Linked DNA regions of Arabidopsis thaliana. The protein of the gene in region 1 interacts with the protein of each later gene in a pairwise test. Each region holds a gene or a part of one and is shown in the gene's direction. Other genes may lie near its edges.

The links.
Region 2: the proteins of AT1G02870 (region 1) and NTRC interact in a two-hybrid assay, tested with the Arabidopsis thaliana proteins (one large-scale study listed by BioGRID).

What each region holds. Positions count from the first base shown.
Region 1 is NC_003070.9:633,937-641,999, reverse strand, and holds AT1G02870 (nucleolar-like protein), read left to right. Parts: upstream 1-3,318; 5' UTR 3,319-3,396; coding exon 3,397-3,742; intron 3,743-3,768; exon of another isoform or gene 3,769-4,228; intron 4,229-4,276; coding exon 4,277-4,398; intron 4,399-4,485; coding exon 4,486-4,599; 3' UTR 4,600-4,786; downstream 4,787-8,063. Other genes in the region: NLA (SPX (SYG1/Pho81/XPR1) domain-containing protein), read right to left, coding at 4,917-5,022, 5,114-5,172, 5,271-5,408, 5,641-5,919, 6,014-6,261, 6,349-6,526.
Region 2 is NC_003071.7:17,373,341-17,382,938, reverse strand, and holds NTRC (NADPH-dependent thioredoxin reductase C), read left to right. Parts: upstream 1-3,879; 5' UTR 3,880-3,910; coding exon 3,911-4,148; intron 4,149-4,240; coding exon 4,241-4,448; intron 4,449-4,537; coding exon 4,538-4,643; intron 4,644-4,743; coding exon 4,744-5,009; intron 5,010-5,373; coding exon 5,374-5,653; intron 5,654-5,758; coding exon 5,759-5,866; intron 5,867-5,942; coding exon 5,943-6,029; intron 6,030-6,118; coding exon 6,119-6,223; intron 6,224-6,319; coding exon 6,320-6,450; intron 6,451-6,529; coding exon 6,530-6,590; 3' UTR 6,591-6,761; downstream 6,762-9,598. Other genes in the region: HSFB3 (heat shock transcription factor B3), read right to left, coding at 362-799, 920-1,216; AT2G41670 (P-loop containing nucleoside triphosphate hydrolases superfamily protein), read right to left, coding at 6,762-7,040, 7,123-7,340, 7,543-7,639, 7,746-7,816, 7,993-8,134, 8,269-8,346, 8,439-8,543, 8,651-8,821. UniProt on the Arabidopsis thaliana protein: Thioredoxin reductase (TR) that exhibits both TR and thioredoxin (Trx) activities. Contains a C-terminal functional Trx domain.

The sequences.
Region 1 (8,063 bases):
TCTTCTTCTTCTTCTTCTTCTTCTTCTTCATACTTGAGAAATCAAAATTCTCTATTCACCTACTTCTTTCTTATTTTTCTTCTTCGAGAAACGAAAGCCAAATTCTATCATCATTCTCATCTATTTCTCTTCGCCGAACGACATTGAAGTAAGCCGTGAGTTCGAGTTCATCATCATTGATTGAATAACCCTCTCCAATCGAGATCGATTTCAGTTGAACTGGATTTGATTTTAGAATCTGAAGATGATAATCAAACTATCAATCGCCTGACGAAGCTAATGTCGACGCCAACACTCCGATGAAAACCAGCCTGAGAGCAATCGATCCATAAGTAACGGACGTTTGCTTCTTCGCCTTCGCCGTCAGATCTGCTCGAGTGAGAGGATCAACAAGAGGAAGATCGGAAAAAATTCTGAGAGTTTCGTCTAAGGGTTTCGAATGGACTTTTCGAGCGGAAGATCAGAAAAAATTCTGACGAGAGAAGACAACTACAAGAGAACGGTGGACCCACATTAGGCTTTCGAATGGACTTTGCTTTTTGGGCCCTTTTTGCTTCCCAAGCCCAACAAGGTATTTTACTTTCCTCCTTTCTTATTTTTGTTTTTCTCCCTTTTTTATTTTCTTACTAAAACTATAAGTTTTTCTTTTATAAGTGTTAAATTTTAAAATTTTGTGTAAACTAATTGTTAAATTTTTATAAGTGTTAAAATTTTTGTGTAAATTTTTATAAATGTTAAAATTTTAAATTTTTGTGTAAATTTTTATAAGTGTTAAATTTTTAAATTTTATAAGTTTTTCTTTTATAAGTGTTAACGTCCATACCCCTAAGAGGCGTCATCGGTTCAATATGATTTACACTTAATTTAATTTTTTAACATTTATTTTTATTTTATTCAAAAATATTTTTAAAACTATATTTTATATTACTACTAGTAAAACTATAAGGTTTTTAAACTATAAAGTTTTTTCTTATATGTGTTAAACTTTTAAATTTTGTGTAAACTAATTGGACACAATGTCCAAACCCCTAAGCGGCGTCATCGGTTCAATATGGTTTACATTTAATTTAACTTTTAACACTTATTTTTATTTTATTCAAAAATGTTTTTAAAACTATATTTTGTATTACTACTATTAAAACTATATTTTGTATTATTACTATTAAAACTATAAGGTTTTTAAACTATAAATTTTTTTCTTATATGTGTAAATTTTTTAAATTTTGTGTAAACTAATTGGACACAACGTCCAAACCCCTAAGCGGCGTCATCGTTTTAATATAGTTTACACTTAATTTAACTTTTTAACACTTATTTTTATTTTATTCAAAAATGTTTTTAAAACTATATTTTGTATTACTACTATTAAAACTATAAGGTTTTTTCTTATGTGTTAAACTTTTAAATTTTGTGTAAACTAATTGGACACAACGTCCAAATCCCTAAGCGGCGTCATCGGTTTAATATGGTTTACACTTAATTTAACTTTTTAACACTTATTTTTATTTTATTCAAAAATGTTTTTAAACCTATATTTTGTATTACTACTATTCAAACTATAAGGTTTTTAAACTATAAAGTTTTTCTTATATGTGTTAAATTTTTAAATTTTGTGTAAACTAATTGGACACAACGTCCAAACCCCTAAGCGGCGTCATCGGTTCAATATGGTTTACACTAAATTTAACTTTTTAACACTTATTTTTATTTTATTCAAAAATGTTTTTAAAACTATATTTTATATTACTACTATTAAAACTTTATAAAGTTTTTTATTATATGTGTTAAAATTTTAAATTTTGTGTAAACTAATTGGACACAACGTCCAAACCCCTAAGACGCGTCATCGGTTCAATATATAGTTTACAATTAATTTAACTTTTTAACACTTATTTTTATTTCATTCAAAAATGTTTTTAAAACTATATTTTGTATTACTACTATTAAAACTTTATAAAGTTTTTTATTATATGTGTTAAAATTTTAAATTTTGTGTAAACTAATTGGACACAACGTCCAAACCCCTAAGACGCGTCATCGGTTCAATATATAGTTTACAATTAATTTAACTTTTTAACACTTATTTTTATTTCATTCAAAAATGTTTTTAAAACTATATTTTGTATTACTACTAGTCTACTATTAAAACTATAAGGTTTTTAAACTATAAATAATTTCTTATATGTGTTAAATTTTTAAATTTTATGTAAACTAATTGGACACAACGTCCAAACCCCTAAGAGGCGTCATCGGTTCAATATGGTTTATACTTAATTTAACTTTTTAACACTTATTTTTATTTTATTTAAAAATGTTTTTAAAACTATATTTTATATTACTACTATTAAAACTATAAGGTTTTTAAACTATCAAGTTTTTTCTTATAAGTGTTAAATTTTTAAATTTTGTGTTATCTAATTGGACACAACATCCAAACTCCTAAGAAGTGTCATTGGTTCATACCTAATTTAAATTTTTAACACTTATTTTTATTTATTTAAAAATGTTTTTAAAACTATATTTTTATATTATTACTATTAAAACTATAAAGTTTTTAAACTATAAGGTTTTTTCTTATAAGTGTTAAATTTTTAAATTTTGTATAAACTGGATACAACATCCATATTTAAAAATGATTTTAACACTATATTTTTATATTAATAAAACTTCTTATAAATGTTAAATTATTAAATTTTGTGTAAACTAATTGGATATAACATCAAAACCTCGAAGGAGGTGTTTTAAGTTCAATATAGTTTACATCTAATTTTAATTTTTAATTTTTAATACTTATCTTTATTTTATTTTAAAAAAATTTTATAATATTTATTGTATTTTTGTGTAATTTACACAAAATTTTGAATCCTTAGGATTGTTGAGTTCACATTTGGTTTTTGTATAACACTCACATCGATTGTAGACTTGTAGTGAGTTTGTGAGATGCTCTATGTTCTCCCTAACTTTTTTTTCTGTCTCTAGGCACGATTTCACGAAACCGGAATCTGTGGACCAAAAGTTACCTAGAGAGTGATTATTTTTGAGAAAATAGTCTTCTTACGAGTATGTTAAATCTAAAATTATAAATGAATGTGATTTTTATCCACACATAACCTTGAGTACTAAATACGAATTTTGTAAAAATGAATCTTTTCTTTGGAATAAGTTTACTTCAAAATTTACAGTGAAAAAATTATAAAAGATCCACTGAACCAATCAAATATTGTATCTATTACCGTATATCATCGACCGGTTTAAAATAATTTGTAATAGGTAAATAACAGAACGACGTCGTTTTAGAGAACCGTGTAAACCCTTTGTAGTTAAACCCTTTCCGCCGCGAACTTCATCTCTCTGCTTTTTCTTCTCCATCGCGAAAATAAAAAATCAGTGAGAGAGATGGCGAGGTCGAGAAGAAAGTACAGGAACTCTAGGGCTAAAGTTCGCGTTGCTCTTCCTAAGAAGAACCCTAATATCTTTAAACCAGCTTTCAACTTCCCTCCCAAGCTCCGCGCTCTCATGGGAGACGATGTCCCTGAATGGGACGATCAAGCTAGCGTTATCCAGAACTACAAATCCTTTGGCGTCATCTCTAACCCTAATTTGCTTGGTATCCGAGCTCGTACCGACCATATGATTCAGGATGATTCCCTCAACGTTCCTCCACCTGTAGAGCCACCGACTGATGATCCTATTGCTAAGGAGTTCGAGCCCATTGATTCTGGAAGCGAACTTGAGGAAGACGGTACGTTTTTCTCCTCTGTCTTTGATTCGATTTTAGATTCACGCTGGATTGATTAGTTTTTCGAAGTTGGTATTTAGGAAATTCGAAATTAGGGCAGAAATCAGGGTTTGGAGTGGTGAATTTGGGAGAACTAATTATACCTATGAAGAATCTTAGTTCTTGGAACAAACATCATTAGTTCATCATTAACGATATGCTTGTGTAAAGCTTCAGATTCTCTACTAATTCATGTCTATGAAACTGATTTTACCTACGAAGAATCTTAGTTTGCTTGATCATCATCTCTGTAAATGCTTGTCTCAAGCTTACAATATTAGTAGACAAAATATACAGAGAATCATGAATATACGTTGATGCCATTGATGAAAACTACACAATATTTATATGTAGCTGTTATTAAGCAAGAATCTGCTTCATTAGCTTTTGGATTCATTACTCTTTCATCACTATGTTTATTAAGCAATTTACAGAGTTGATGCAAGTTTCCTTTTTGTGGTAACTAATTGTTGAAATGCTTTGTTGTGAGATGTGTAGATCTTAAGACAGCATTGGGGAAGCAAAGAAAAGATGGAAAGAGTGCTCCTTTACAGCCGCTTACCACTATGCAACGCACACATATAAGGCGTTTGGTGGAGAAACATGGTGATGACATTGAGGTTAGATCTATAATCCTACTGATTCTATCATTTTTGCTCTGTGTGATGATACTCTTTCTAAGTTCTAACATCTATTCCTTTGAACAGGGCATGTACCGAGACAGGAAGCTAAACTCGATGCAGCATTCGGTTGCAACACTTCGAAAGCTATGTACGAGATATCAGATTTACAAAGACAAGAACCCGATTTTAGTTTCATGATGATGATGATGATCTCTGTATCCTTTGTTCAATTTTGTTATAAACTTGCAACAACACTACAATGGTTATGAAGTTTCTATAAATCAGAATTCAGTATTTTTTCTATTCAGAAGCATCTTTATGAGGTGAAGAGGACATATGCAAACTTATAAACCATATTTAATGCTTAAGAGTTTTCAGTTTTTTCACAAAGAAATCGTCACTCTCTGTGCAAGGAAACACACTCACAGAGGAAAGCAAATCAAAATTAAGATTATTTTTACTATCTTATTATCAAAATCAAGAATCTCACTTAAGAAGCCACAAATCAAACTATATCATATTCCAGTGAAGCTTCGGCATTGGTAATCCCAATATTCCTTTGCTTGTTGTAACCTTTCTGCTCTCTCTGTTTTACGCCTTTCTTCCCAATAGTCTCTGCAGCTGCATTATTGCAGGTTTTGGAAATTGTAAGTCAGTCTTTTTAGAGACAGGTTTTAAAGATTAAAAGAAGAATGGTTGTATATGCATTTACCTTCGCTTAAGTAAAATATTGAGCTCATCCAAGTGAACAGCACCTTTATAAACCCCATCCTGATATCGAATGGGCGAAAATACAGAGATTTAGTGCATAAAACAAGGAAGACTAGTAGACTACTAAGTCGTAATTAGCAGTGGAGAATGTGTCTAACCTCACGGCAAAGCGGGCATTTTTCAGTTGCTTCTGCGGTTTTCAAGCCATCAACTACGTTTACTGATGCAGCAGAGCAAGCACACATGTAGCAATATATGTGACCGCAGGTTAGAGATATTGGATCAAACACCGTGTCCTGTTTTTCGCCAATCAATTGTAATCCGTAAGTTAAAGACTTATTAATAGCATTACATTTAAAAATATTCATTGCTAAAGACTTAGTCTTTGAAGTGGAACCTGCAAGAGGAGAGTGGAATAACACCTTGACACGACAAAGTTAAGACTCTATCCCTATAGGCTGATACTTTCTTCTATATTTCAGATTACTAATAAGTCAACTACATTGAGATTCTTCTTAAGTTTCTTACCAGGCATATTGAACAAGTCAAGTCAATGTCAACTTTGACGGAATCAGAGAGCTCGCAGGAAAGTAAAGGCTTCCCATCGTCGAAAGTCAAAGCGCAACCATCAAACAATGCATGAACAGGAGGAGGAGGAGAAGTTATAGTAGCTCCAGATTCCTTCTTAGATTCTTTCAGATTGATGTGAAACGCCATAAGCTCGCAGAGCCACGGTGACTGAAGGATTTCTATTCGCATTTTCTGGACCTGAGTCTTAAACGCTTGTCCTTGCCTAGACTCATGAATCTGCAACACAAAGATGCCAAACATATTGAATAAACAAGTGCTTAAAAAGACCATCATCAGTCTTTGGATCTTACAATAGTAGATGATTATCAACCTTGTCATATTTCTTGAGGATTTTTCGAATGGCGACGGCATTGATGAGAGCGTAATTAACCAAATCTTTACCCTCTTGGATCAAACCATGATGGTCCTTTTTTCGACTGTTGCCTCTGAGCCAAGTAAGACACTTTGTAAAACCAGAAGCTAAATGAAGCTCAAGAAGCTTCTGAGCATGCTCGTTAAACCATCCAACAACATCTTCCATTTCCTTGAGAAGCTCCGGGAAAAAAGTCCCATCACAAACTACAAAATCAATATTGAATTCTCAAACCAAAAGGAGAAAAGCAGGGGATGATGATTCATTCACAGGGTAATTATGTCGAACAGTACCTGGGCATTCACGAGAACAATTGTGGTTGATTGCATCAGTAAAAGAAATTCTAGAAGGAACATGATTTCTCCTGCATCTCTTGAGAATCTTCTTGAGTTTCTTAAACCCAACACCAGGAAGATTCTTCTTCTCCTTCTGTCCTTGCATGTACTCTTCATACTTCTTACAAAACTTCATTTATTTTTTCTCTGAATTTCACAACTCAATAAAACAGATAAAGGTTACAAATTTAGATGACCATCAACAAACAAATTCAGCCCTCAAACAAAAAAAAAGGATTTTGATCAACAAAACAGAGTCGCTCTTATCTCTTTCCCTATCTCTCTCTTGCGTCTCGTGTTGGCTTAATTATGTATGAAAATGAAACAGAAACAAAAACAGAACAGAGACGTATTTATGAATAAATGAAGGTGGTGGTGACTGGTGAAGTCGGCGGAAATAACAAGTTGTGAAATAAAAGAATATGAGAAAACAAAAAAAAAGTCAAAACGTTTGTTTTGGGAACATATCTTCTTCTTCGTTAAAAGGTGAAGTTTGTGTTATGAGAGTTATGGAAATATATATTAATTCTTCTGTGCAACTATTGGTGGATTTCAATTTCAATGACTTATTATTAATGTAGTGACAGACTCGTTACGAATACATTAAAGATTTGGGTTTTTTAAAATTAATGAGAGCACATTTGTGATTTGTTGTATATCACACTCGATCTATTTCTTTATGCCGCGTGGATGCCAAAGTCTGGATTCTGTGTATATCCTATTCGTTGAATTTATTTAGTCTCACATTTCTTTATTATCGTAAACTATATAAAATTATGATATAAAATCTGCGAGATATTTTACCATTCAAGAAGGGTTATTTTGCTATAATTTTTGTTGTTTTCTTTTACGTATACATGTTGATGGGAAAAAAAAAACTCTGATGTAAAGATAATATATAAAATATGAAAACCACTGTGTAATTTGGGATAAAGATGCCACCAGAAAGGGCCCTTTTGTTGGTTTTTCTCCTTTGTGGGGTCAAATTAGAAACTTGGAAATAGTTTTAAGAATATAATATATTTTTTTAGGAAGTTTAGGCCATTTCCATTGGTAAGATACTTTAAAAGTTTCTCAAAAAAAAAAAAAAAATATTTTACTATGATTTAGTTTATGTCCAATAATAAACACACATATATACACATAGTCTCTCAAAAAAAAAATATAATAATATTTTACTATGATTTAGTTTATGTCCAATAATAAACACACATATATACACATAGTCTCTCAATCATTATTCTAAAGTTTCTCTGCAGAGAAACTATTCTCAATCTCTCTCATATCTCTCTCCTACTTTATTATTATTTTATATTTTTTAGTTAATGAAAAACTATGTGAGAGACTACTCATGGAGATGCTCTTATAATTGACTTGGATTGGATTTCGCCACTAAAACTCTGCTTTATATTATTTTCAAGCCGCGCATTTTGTTTATTTTAACTTTACGACCCCCTTAATTATTACTATGTGTATCATGATTTTGCACTAACATTTTTCATCCAGAGTCACCCACCACTGTCCTTTTTTCTTTGCTTACATTTTTTTTTCATCTTACAAAAAAAACAAAACAAATTAGAGGTATATGCTCTAGTGGCAAAGAAAATTTAACTTTGAAACTTTAATTTCTTTTAGCTTTATTTGAATGGTGTAATAGTGATGCATTAAACCCT
Region 2 (9,598 bases), on another chromosome or scaffold:
GTTGAGATTTACCAAAATTCAACCATTTTGCAGCTAGTGATACCATTATTAACGCGGCTTACATAACCAAAATCATCCTGACCACAGCCCAAAGTGAGATGTAACTCATCTCATCTACCCAAAATAGTTTTAAATTTCGCAAATACATGAGAAAACGTTCTCTTAGTTAATGGCTATATATATACACACGATGTACCATGTTATGAACACGAGACTTAACCAATACAGCAAAGAATCCGATATTTCTCGGACATATGTTCTGATCTTGCATGTCTTAAAAGAGTACTATATATAGTTATGCAAAACTTCTAAGAATATGAAGAAACTGGTATATTACGAATATCAATCTAGCAATCTAGTTTCATTCAAGTTTTACTCCGAACAACTTAAGCCCTTCATCTTCTTCATCATCACTTTCATCAGTTGCATCTTCGTCTTCTCCTCTGTATCTCTCCACCAACTCCATAAGCTGCTTGCATTTCTTCTTGGTTTTCCCAAGTTCGCAGCTTAATAACTCGTTTTCATTCTTCAAGCATTTGTTTTCGTCGAGTAATGCAGTGTATACGAAAGAGGATGAAGTGGCGGAAGACTGTTGATCCTCATGGTGATGATCAATCCCAATCCGTTGATGACCTTCTTGATTCACCATCGTTGTTGTTGGTACAACCTGGTGATTAGACTTGTTGTGTGACCAATGTTGGCTCTTCCTTCTTCGGATATTGCTCATAAGCTCTCTTTGCCCCTTTCGAAACATCTCATTACTAAATTCCCATCTTATCGTCGTTACTTTTCGAAAACCCTATAATATTTTTGTAACAACACTCATTAATGCCTTTAATTAAGCAAATACACTTAGTAAACTCAAAGAAACACAAATAGTTTAAAATACTGATTGAAACAGTGAAGCATATATACGTACGTAAGTATTGAGCTGGCGAACGAAGCTAGAGAAGTTGCAATGCTTGAAAAGTGTTGGTAACAGATCTCTAGCGAATTCTGCCGGCTGCCACACGACGAAACCAGTTCCGTATTCGTTCCAAGATATAACCCCGTCCGTCGTCGGATCCTCCACCACTTTGTATGTCTTTACCAAGAACGGTGGAGGCGGCTGTAGCTCCGCCGTGGATGTTGAGTTTCCGATCATAAACTCCAATGGCAAACGCTCCTCGTCGTTAACGTTATCGTTACACCGTAAATGTTCACCAGCATCTTCCATATATAAAACGAAAATTATTATTCTTGAAGAAAACAAGTAGTAGAAGATCTCAAACTAGAAAGACGTAACACGACTCCATAGAAAGAGATAGAGACGTTATTTAATTTAATTAGGTGGTTGAGACAATAATAGAAATACTTTAACAAAAGAAAACAATAATAGAAATACTTTGAACAATTTTCAAGGAACGTACGCTTCTAACTATTTACATATTCTATAGAATATGTAACTCTAACACTAACATGCATATAATCATGATGCATACACACACACACGATTGTGTTTGTAAATATATTTTTCTTATATCAAATGAAAATCGATGTTTGATGACAATATGACATGTAATTTTTCAGGTTTGAAACCAACCATCGATAATATTTACGTCGAATCCACTATACGACATAACTCTTTTTTTTCTCAAACACAACGCTCGTCTCTAACATGTATAACTAACGACATTTTGCTTTTAATTTTAGAATGATATTGGATTACTTTACCCCCAAAAAAACTGATATCAACTTAATTTGTATAGTTGATATTTAGTACTGGTCTTAAGTTTTTCAGGGAAACTGCAGTAGTCGTTGCTTTTACCAACCGAGCTATATTGTCAATATAATTTTAGTTGTAACGTGTGTGTTTGATTAGACGTATAGGAAACAAACGAAAAATGATTTTAAAAAAAATATTAATCACGAGGTATATATGTGAATACACATATATTAATGTATGTTGGTAAAATTGGATATTGTGATATGAAGCAACTCGTTTGGACCCCCTTTAGGTGAGGTGGTACTATCAATTTACGAAACGCAAATCATGCATATTATTCATCATGTCTACCTATATTTGTAAGATTTAGTTTTCTCTAATGATTAATCAAGTACTATCATTAGTAAAATCTCTCGAATATATAATATGGATTGCAAAAATATCACATTAATTACCAATCTTTTTTTCTCTATAAAGTACCAGTTAAAATACCACATAGCAGAAGTTATATTCTTAAACAGATCGTTTTCTAAATTTCATGTTAAATTATATTCAAAGTACAAATCTTTTGTAATGGTATTTTTAAAAATGATTATAAACTTGATATTTCATATAGTTAGTTTTGTTGTTTTGTAGGATCATGTAAATTGCTCGTTTTTCAAAATTGATGACTATCTATCTTTTTGACTATACATGCTTTGTCTAATTGTATGTTACTTTCGACACCTTAATTTGTTGATAATATATAAACAAGTGCTTAAAAGAGTATATATAGAAAAAGTAAGGGGGTTCAGTTGATCTGAATGGAAAGTTAAAAAAGTGATCATTCATCACGGTCGAATTTGATCATATATATAAGTTTATGGTAACGTATAACGGTAAAAGCCAGTAAATTTATAGAAGGAATTCCAAATTAAATAATTCTTTAAAATTTCAGTTGAATAAAAGTTCCCAAAGTTAAAATCTTTTTTTTTTTCCAAGACATAATCAAGTAACTTAAGTAAATGTCGGTTTTAGCACAATAATGCAAGAAAGGAAACCTTTAGATCTCTATTGGTCAAAGTAGGGGACAGTGATGTAATTCAAGTCATCGATCTACTGACTACTGGTGTTTGAAGGGGATTACCGACAATGTTCCTATGACGGCGCGTACCTTCCACGCGTCTGTAAAAGAGAGAGACAACTAATAATACAAATCCTAACGCTTAAGCTCTACTATATCGTTTTAACAGTAGTGATCCATATATATGTCCTGTTGAAATTATTTGTTGAACAATAAGATTAAGGGATCACAAAACTACTCCAGCATATACTACTTGGATATGTAGCTCTTGTAAGGCTTAATTTAGATGGTAAGATATAAACATCGAATTTAAGAATAGTCATCAAGAACAGCTTAGGAAACTTCAAATGGCAGATCGAATTTGGATGACAAGTAAGAACACGGTGGGGGGGTTTTTTTTTAACCATAAAGTTATGCTTAACGTTTAGTGATGTGGCTTCCTAACGAATCTATACAACATCAAGTCATCAAATGTAAGTACATTTTGTTGACTAAAACATTGGAAGTGCATGGAATTCAGACACTAGACTAAAGATAAAGATCCTTGCTTTCATTGGGCTGCTCTTTTTTGGTCAGCTTAACTTTTTGACTTAAGAAAAAATAGTCTGTCACCTTCCCTCACCAACTCCTAGTTCATTTCATTTCCACTTCAACCTCTTCAGAACTAAGTAAACTATATAGTCTTCGCATTTAGCTAGTTATGCTTTATAAATTATTAGTACTAACTTTTTGGCGAAGCAATCCGCACACAGATTAGCCCATTTTCCGGTGGGTTTAAGAATCTTCGTCGTGACTAAATATTCAGTACCAAAACAGGCCCATTTATGGCCCAATATAAAAAGCGTCGTCCGTCCACTTAAACTCTTGGCGATCTTTCCCACTTAAAAAAAAAGCGATTGGCTTATCCCTCCGTTGAAAAGACGAAGTAAAATCAGTCAAAACACATCTCCACCGTTCAGTCGCTTCATCACATATATCCAACGGCTGAAAATCATCTAAGCCTGTGGACTTGGAAGCAAAGAGATAATGCTGAGGCGCGTGAGGCACAGTCGCCAACAGAAAATCGGGATGTTTTTTTTTAACTGCAAAGCCAAAGAGACAATTGTATGGTCTCTGGTAAAGGTAAGGCAATCAAAAAAAATATGGCTGCGTCTCCCAAGATAGGCATCGGTATTGCCTCCGTCTCATCGCCTCACCGTGTCTCCGCCGCCTCATCCGCTCTTTCTCCTCCTCCTCATCTCTTCTTTCTCACTACTACTACTACCACACGTCACGGCGGCTCCTATCTCCTCCGTCAACCAACCCGAACTCGCTCTTCTGATTCCCTCCGCCTCAGAGTCTCCGCCACCGCCAATTCTCCGTCTTCTTCTTCTTCAGGAGGTACTTGAGGAGTTCCTCTTTGCTTCTTTCTTAAGGTTTTTGGCAGTGTAAGTAATCGAGCTCTGTGTTGGTTTTTTAATAATTAATTGCAGGCGAGATTATCGAGAATGTAGTGATTATAGGCTCCGGTCCCGCCGGTTATACGGCGGCGATATATGCAGCGCGCGCCAATTTGAAGCCGGTGGTTTTTGAAGGGTATCAGATGGGCGGAGTTCCCGGTGGACAGTTGATGACAACTACTGAAGTTGAGAATTTTCCGGGATTCCCAGACGGTATCACGGGTCCCGATTTAATGGAGAAGTGAGCTATAACATAGTCTGATTCTTTTGTTAGTTTGTGGCGTTTCTTATATGTTTCTGATGCAATTATTTATTGTGTGAAAATTGTAGAATGAGAAAGCAAGCAGAGAGGTGGGGAGCAGAGTTGTATCCAGAAGATGTTGAATCTCTTAGTGTCACAACTGCTCCTTTTACTGTGCAAACTAGTGAACGTAAGGTGATTATCTTTCTTTGTTTTCTCACTATTTCTTTTTCAAATTCTAAATAGTTTTTTTTTTTTGGCTTCAGCTCTCTTCTGATGTTTCCATTTTTTATAGGTCAAGTGCCATAGTATTATATATGCCACTGGCGCTACAGCAAGGAGGTTAAGGTTACCTCGAGAGGAAGAATTCTGGAGTAGGGGGATAAGTGCTTGTGCTATCTGTGATGGAGCTTCGCCTTTATTTAAGGGGCAAGTACTTGCCGTGGTTGGAGGAGGAGATACGGCTACAGAGGAAGCCTTGTATCTCACGAAATATGCCCGTCATGTTCATTTGCTTGTTCGCAGAGATCAGTTGAGAGCTTCCAAGGCTATGCAAGATAGGTGAGTTCTTATATTCATCACGTCTGCCTTATATTCTACTCCTCTTCTTTGATTTCTGAAGATAAACAGTTAAAACTAGATAAATGCTATGTCCAAACTAGGAAATGTGTTTTGTCATAGCTATGTTGAGCGTTCTTTGTTGCATGTATTGACTGCTATCCCCTGTTCCCTCGCAAATCCATTGGATATATCTGGGAAAGCCTTTGGTTATGATTTCCGTTGCATGTAAATTTATAACCAACCAGTAGAGTGCTTTTTTTTTTTGCTGGCTATCGGAATTATAGACTAATGAGCACAACGTAAGTTGAGTCTTTTCAACACCCTGAGTGTTTTTTTAACAGGTTGGTTATGGCGAATGTTTCAGAGTGATCAACAATCCAAACATCACAGTGCATTACAACACGGAAACCGTGGACGTATTGAGCAACACCAAGGGACAGATGTCTGGCATTCTACTCAGAAGACTTGATACGGGTGAAGAAACTGAGCTGGAGGCAAAAGGATTGTTTTATGGAATAGGGCATTCGCCAAACAGTCAGTTATTGGAAGGCCAAGTCGAACTCGACAGCTCCGGGTACGTCTTGGTTCGGGAAGGAACATCAAATACATCAGTTGAAGGTGTATTTGCTGCAGGAGATGTGCAGGTATTCTTCGGAACTTTTAGCAATTTTTCGGTGTTGGTATTAACTCTTTTAAGTCATATTGGTTCGATAATTGTGTTTGCTATATTCTCCTATTTGTCACTCTAGGACCACGAATGGAGACAAGCTGTAACTGCTGCTGGATCAGGATGCATAGCTGCTTTGTCAGCCGAGAGATACCTCACAAGTAACAATCTTCTTGTTGAATTTCACCAGGTAGGAAATATTCAGAAATATCTTATCTCTTAAGCACACGTCACAAGGCTTACTCTCTTTCATGTTCACGTTACAGCCTCAAACTGAAGAGGCCAAGAAAGAATTCACACAACGGGATGTCCAAGAAAAGTTTGACATCACTCTTACAAAGCACAAGGGACAGGTTTGTTAACATATGAACCTTAACTTGTTACCTACAAGCATTTTCTCTGCCTCACATCTTTCTCCTTATGTTTTTTCCCCTGCTTTCAGTATGCTCTTAGAAAACTATACCATGAGAGTCCAAGAGTTATATTGGTACTATACACTTCACCAACATGTGGCCCCTGTAGGACTCTGAAGCCTATTTTGAACAAGGTATTCCTTTATTAGTCGAAATGAAACTCATCGGAAGAGATCTTTTTGGACTGATTTACTTGACCATTTGTTCACTTCTCCTTCATTTTGTTTCAGGTGGTCGATGAGTATAACCATGATGTGCATTTTGTTGAGATTGACATCGAGGAAGATCAAGAAATTGCTGAAGCAGCTGGAATTATGGGAACCCCATGTGTGCAGTTCTTCAAGAACAAGGAAATGCTCAGGTTAGGAAACGTTCTCTCAGTTTTAAAATTGCATAGATTATTGTGTTCAGGTTTGGCTAAAGATTCCGAGTCTGTGTAGGACTATATCGGGTGTGAAGATGAAGAAAGAGTACCGAGAATTCATTGAGGCCAATAAATGAGGACACCAGATAGATATTGTTTCTGGCAGATGCCAAATCTTATCATGATTCAATTTTGTTCATTCAAATACTTTGGAGTTACTGGAGCAACGCCATTGAATCTCAAATGTAAACAAATAGAATCATCATCTTAAGCTGCACGCATAATGTGGTACAATTTGCTTTAAGATTTTACAAAACAACTACCCGTTTTGAATTGGGGTGGTCAGTTTCAGTTTCAGGGACATCGTCAAGGATAAAGGGACCAAGTCTACCTGTCCTAAACAAAGTAAGAAATTTCTTGGAGACCATTAACCTTGCTTCGGATGCTTTGTGAGGAATCTTCAATGCCTTTTGTAGAACTTCAAACTGTTGCTCTATCAAACATTCTAAATCATTCTCATCCTCCGTGTCCCCATCAAATTCTGAGAGTGTTATATACAGTGATCGTTGCACTTCTGAAATCATATCCTGTAGATGACAGGGAACCTTTCATTGGTCAGGACAATTTCAGAAGGAAAGCAAGGTAGAGATATAAGGTTATTATGCTAACCCCGACATAGTGCAGAGCAGATGAATCTGGTTGTTTGGTTCTCTGGTGTCGAAGATCCTTTAAGTTATAGCTTGGCTTATCGATGCAGTCTGCATGAGGCCCTTCGTTTATTCCCTCAACTAAGTACTTCCAATGAAGAGGAGTCCCTCGAATGTTTAGAATAGCTAGAAAGTATTGTGCAATCCGCTCTTCACCCACTACTGAATCTTTAACGGACCCTTAGAATGTCAAACGCATAACAATTAGCTAGAGAGATCATATGCTGTAAGAAATACGGCCCTATATTAGAGAAAAACTAAGAACTGAGATTATAAGACCTAAACTGTATCATCATTTGATGAACTAAATCTAGTGTACGGGTTTACACGATCTAGCACCAAGAAGAAAGAAGAGAAAGGAGATAAAGATATAGATAAGAACCTGAAAGAGCAAGCTTCAAACCGGTTTCGATATCAGGGATACTTGGAACCAACACACCAGGGGAGTCTAGAACATATATACTAGGTCGATGAGCAATCTGTACCACAGAACATTTTCATCATGTGTTCAAAAATCATGCTGAAGCAAATCCACAAACAATTAACAGGCATACGGAAAAAAGAGGATTTTCAAATAAAGATTACCTTGAAACCAGCAATATCTTGTGTTACACCAGGCAATGGACCAACCGTAGCTCTCTTTAATCTCTCCTGCACTATGCACATAATGCATACAATAACGAAATAAGCCACGTTACATTTCATTCATCATTCTGTTCATGAAATAATTAACTTGTAAGTTTAAGTTTGGAGAAATCGGATTCACAGTCCGGACTATATCTGTGAAATGTGTACTCAACACTGCTGATAAGCTGAGACACCAATATCTTACCCGGAAAACGAGCTGCTGCAATTTGATGGATCGAGTTAATGAGCGCAGATTTTCCAACATTGGGGACACCAACCACCATTACAAGTAAAGTAGGCTCCCTAGCAATCACTTCTTTGAGCTTCAACTCCACGAGATCAAGCAGCTACATACGAAAAATTATGCAAAGAAGGTAACTTTTCAATGCGCAGTAGTAGAAAATCCTCATCAAATTATATGTGTGAAGAAACTATAACTGGTTTTAACACACCAACCTAAATGTAAAGAGGATCATCTAACCTTCATGACAGAGCTTCTGCTATGAGCATTAATGGCAATACAATCTTGCTTGCTGGATTCGAAATGACGAGTCCATTTCTATAAATTGCATAAAAATTCAGAAACTCAACCTCACAGAGACTAACAAGAGGTTAAAGAAAGACAAAGGTTCACACAAAAAAACGAATTACATTGAGAACATTAGGGTTTGCTAAATCTTTCTTATTCAGAGCAATGATACGTCTCTTAGCTGACATTTGGGATTGTAGATCTTCGTTCGCCGATGACAGAGGAATCTGCAAAAATACCCAAAAACAAAGACAACGACAATTCAGATTATTCCTTCCACGATGATAAAGGGATCGAATATAAAGAGAGATAGTGTGAGTGAGTGTTTACAGACACGAGCATCGCGAACTTCGATAACGAGATCGGAGAGCTTGAGGCGGTTACGAATGGCGCGAGTAGCTGCAGCCATATGACCGGGAAACCAATTGATTTTTCCGGCGTCTTTAGCGAAGCTCATTCCGCCGATTAAACCTTTCTTCACTGTCTTCTTCAACATCATCACCATTTTCTCCGGCAACAACAGCGAAAGAAGGGTTTTCTAAGGTTTTACAGCTCGTCACGCAAAATAAATCCAAATTTGGTTATAGGATTTGGGCTTAAGATGGGCTTCATATGATTAAATTTTGGGCTTATTACAATTTTTTACATAGAGATACGTTTGTGTAACAAAAAAAAAAAACAGTTTGGACGACCAATTTTTGTAGGAGATAGATGGGTCTCTGGGACACTCTGCTTGCTCGTTGTTATCGTAAAGGTTGTAGTAGCTGGTTGGCTCAATGGTTTGCACATTCCTAGCTTATCTCATAGTTGTTTTATTTATTAGTTCAACTTTCAACTAACTAATTAGCATTTTAATTTTACCTTTTTAAAACTCATTACCCTTATAAACTTTTGTAATTAACTATGTTCCATTTTGGTAAAATAAAATTACATTTTATCCCAAACAAAAATTTAGCTTCCGATAACATTTTAGTTGGATTTGTTTTTAACACTACACGTATCACGTATGGCCATAATTCAATATTATTTGAAATTCACTACATATTAAAAACGGTAAGACCCTGTTTCTGGTAAGAGGGCTAGACCCTTTAGCACACTTATATACATATGATAGTAGTACGGTTACCACTCTTAATTAGTTGATTATTGAGAAATGATCAAATATCTGTAACTACTTAGAAGATATTTATGTTTTTCTGTTAAAGAGATACTTATGTTGTTCAGCTTAAGCTAATACACGTGTTTGATTAACATAATTTTCATCGAGTTGTTAATTGGTTGG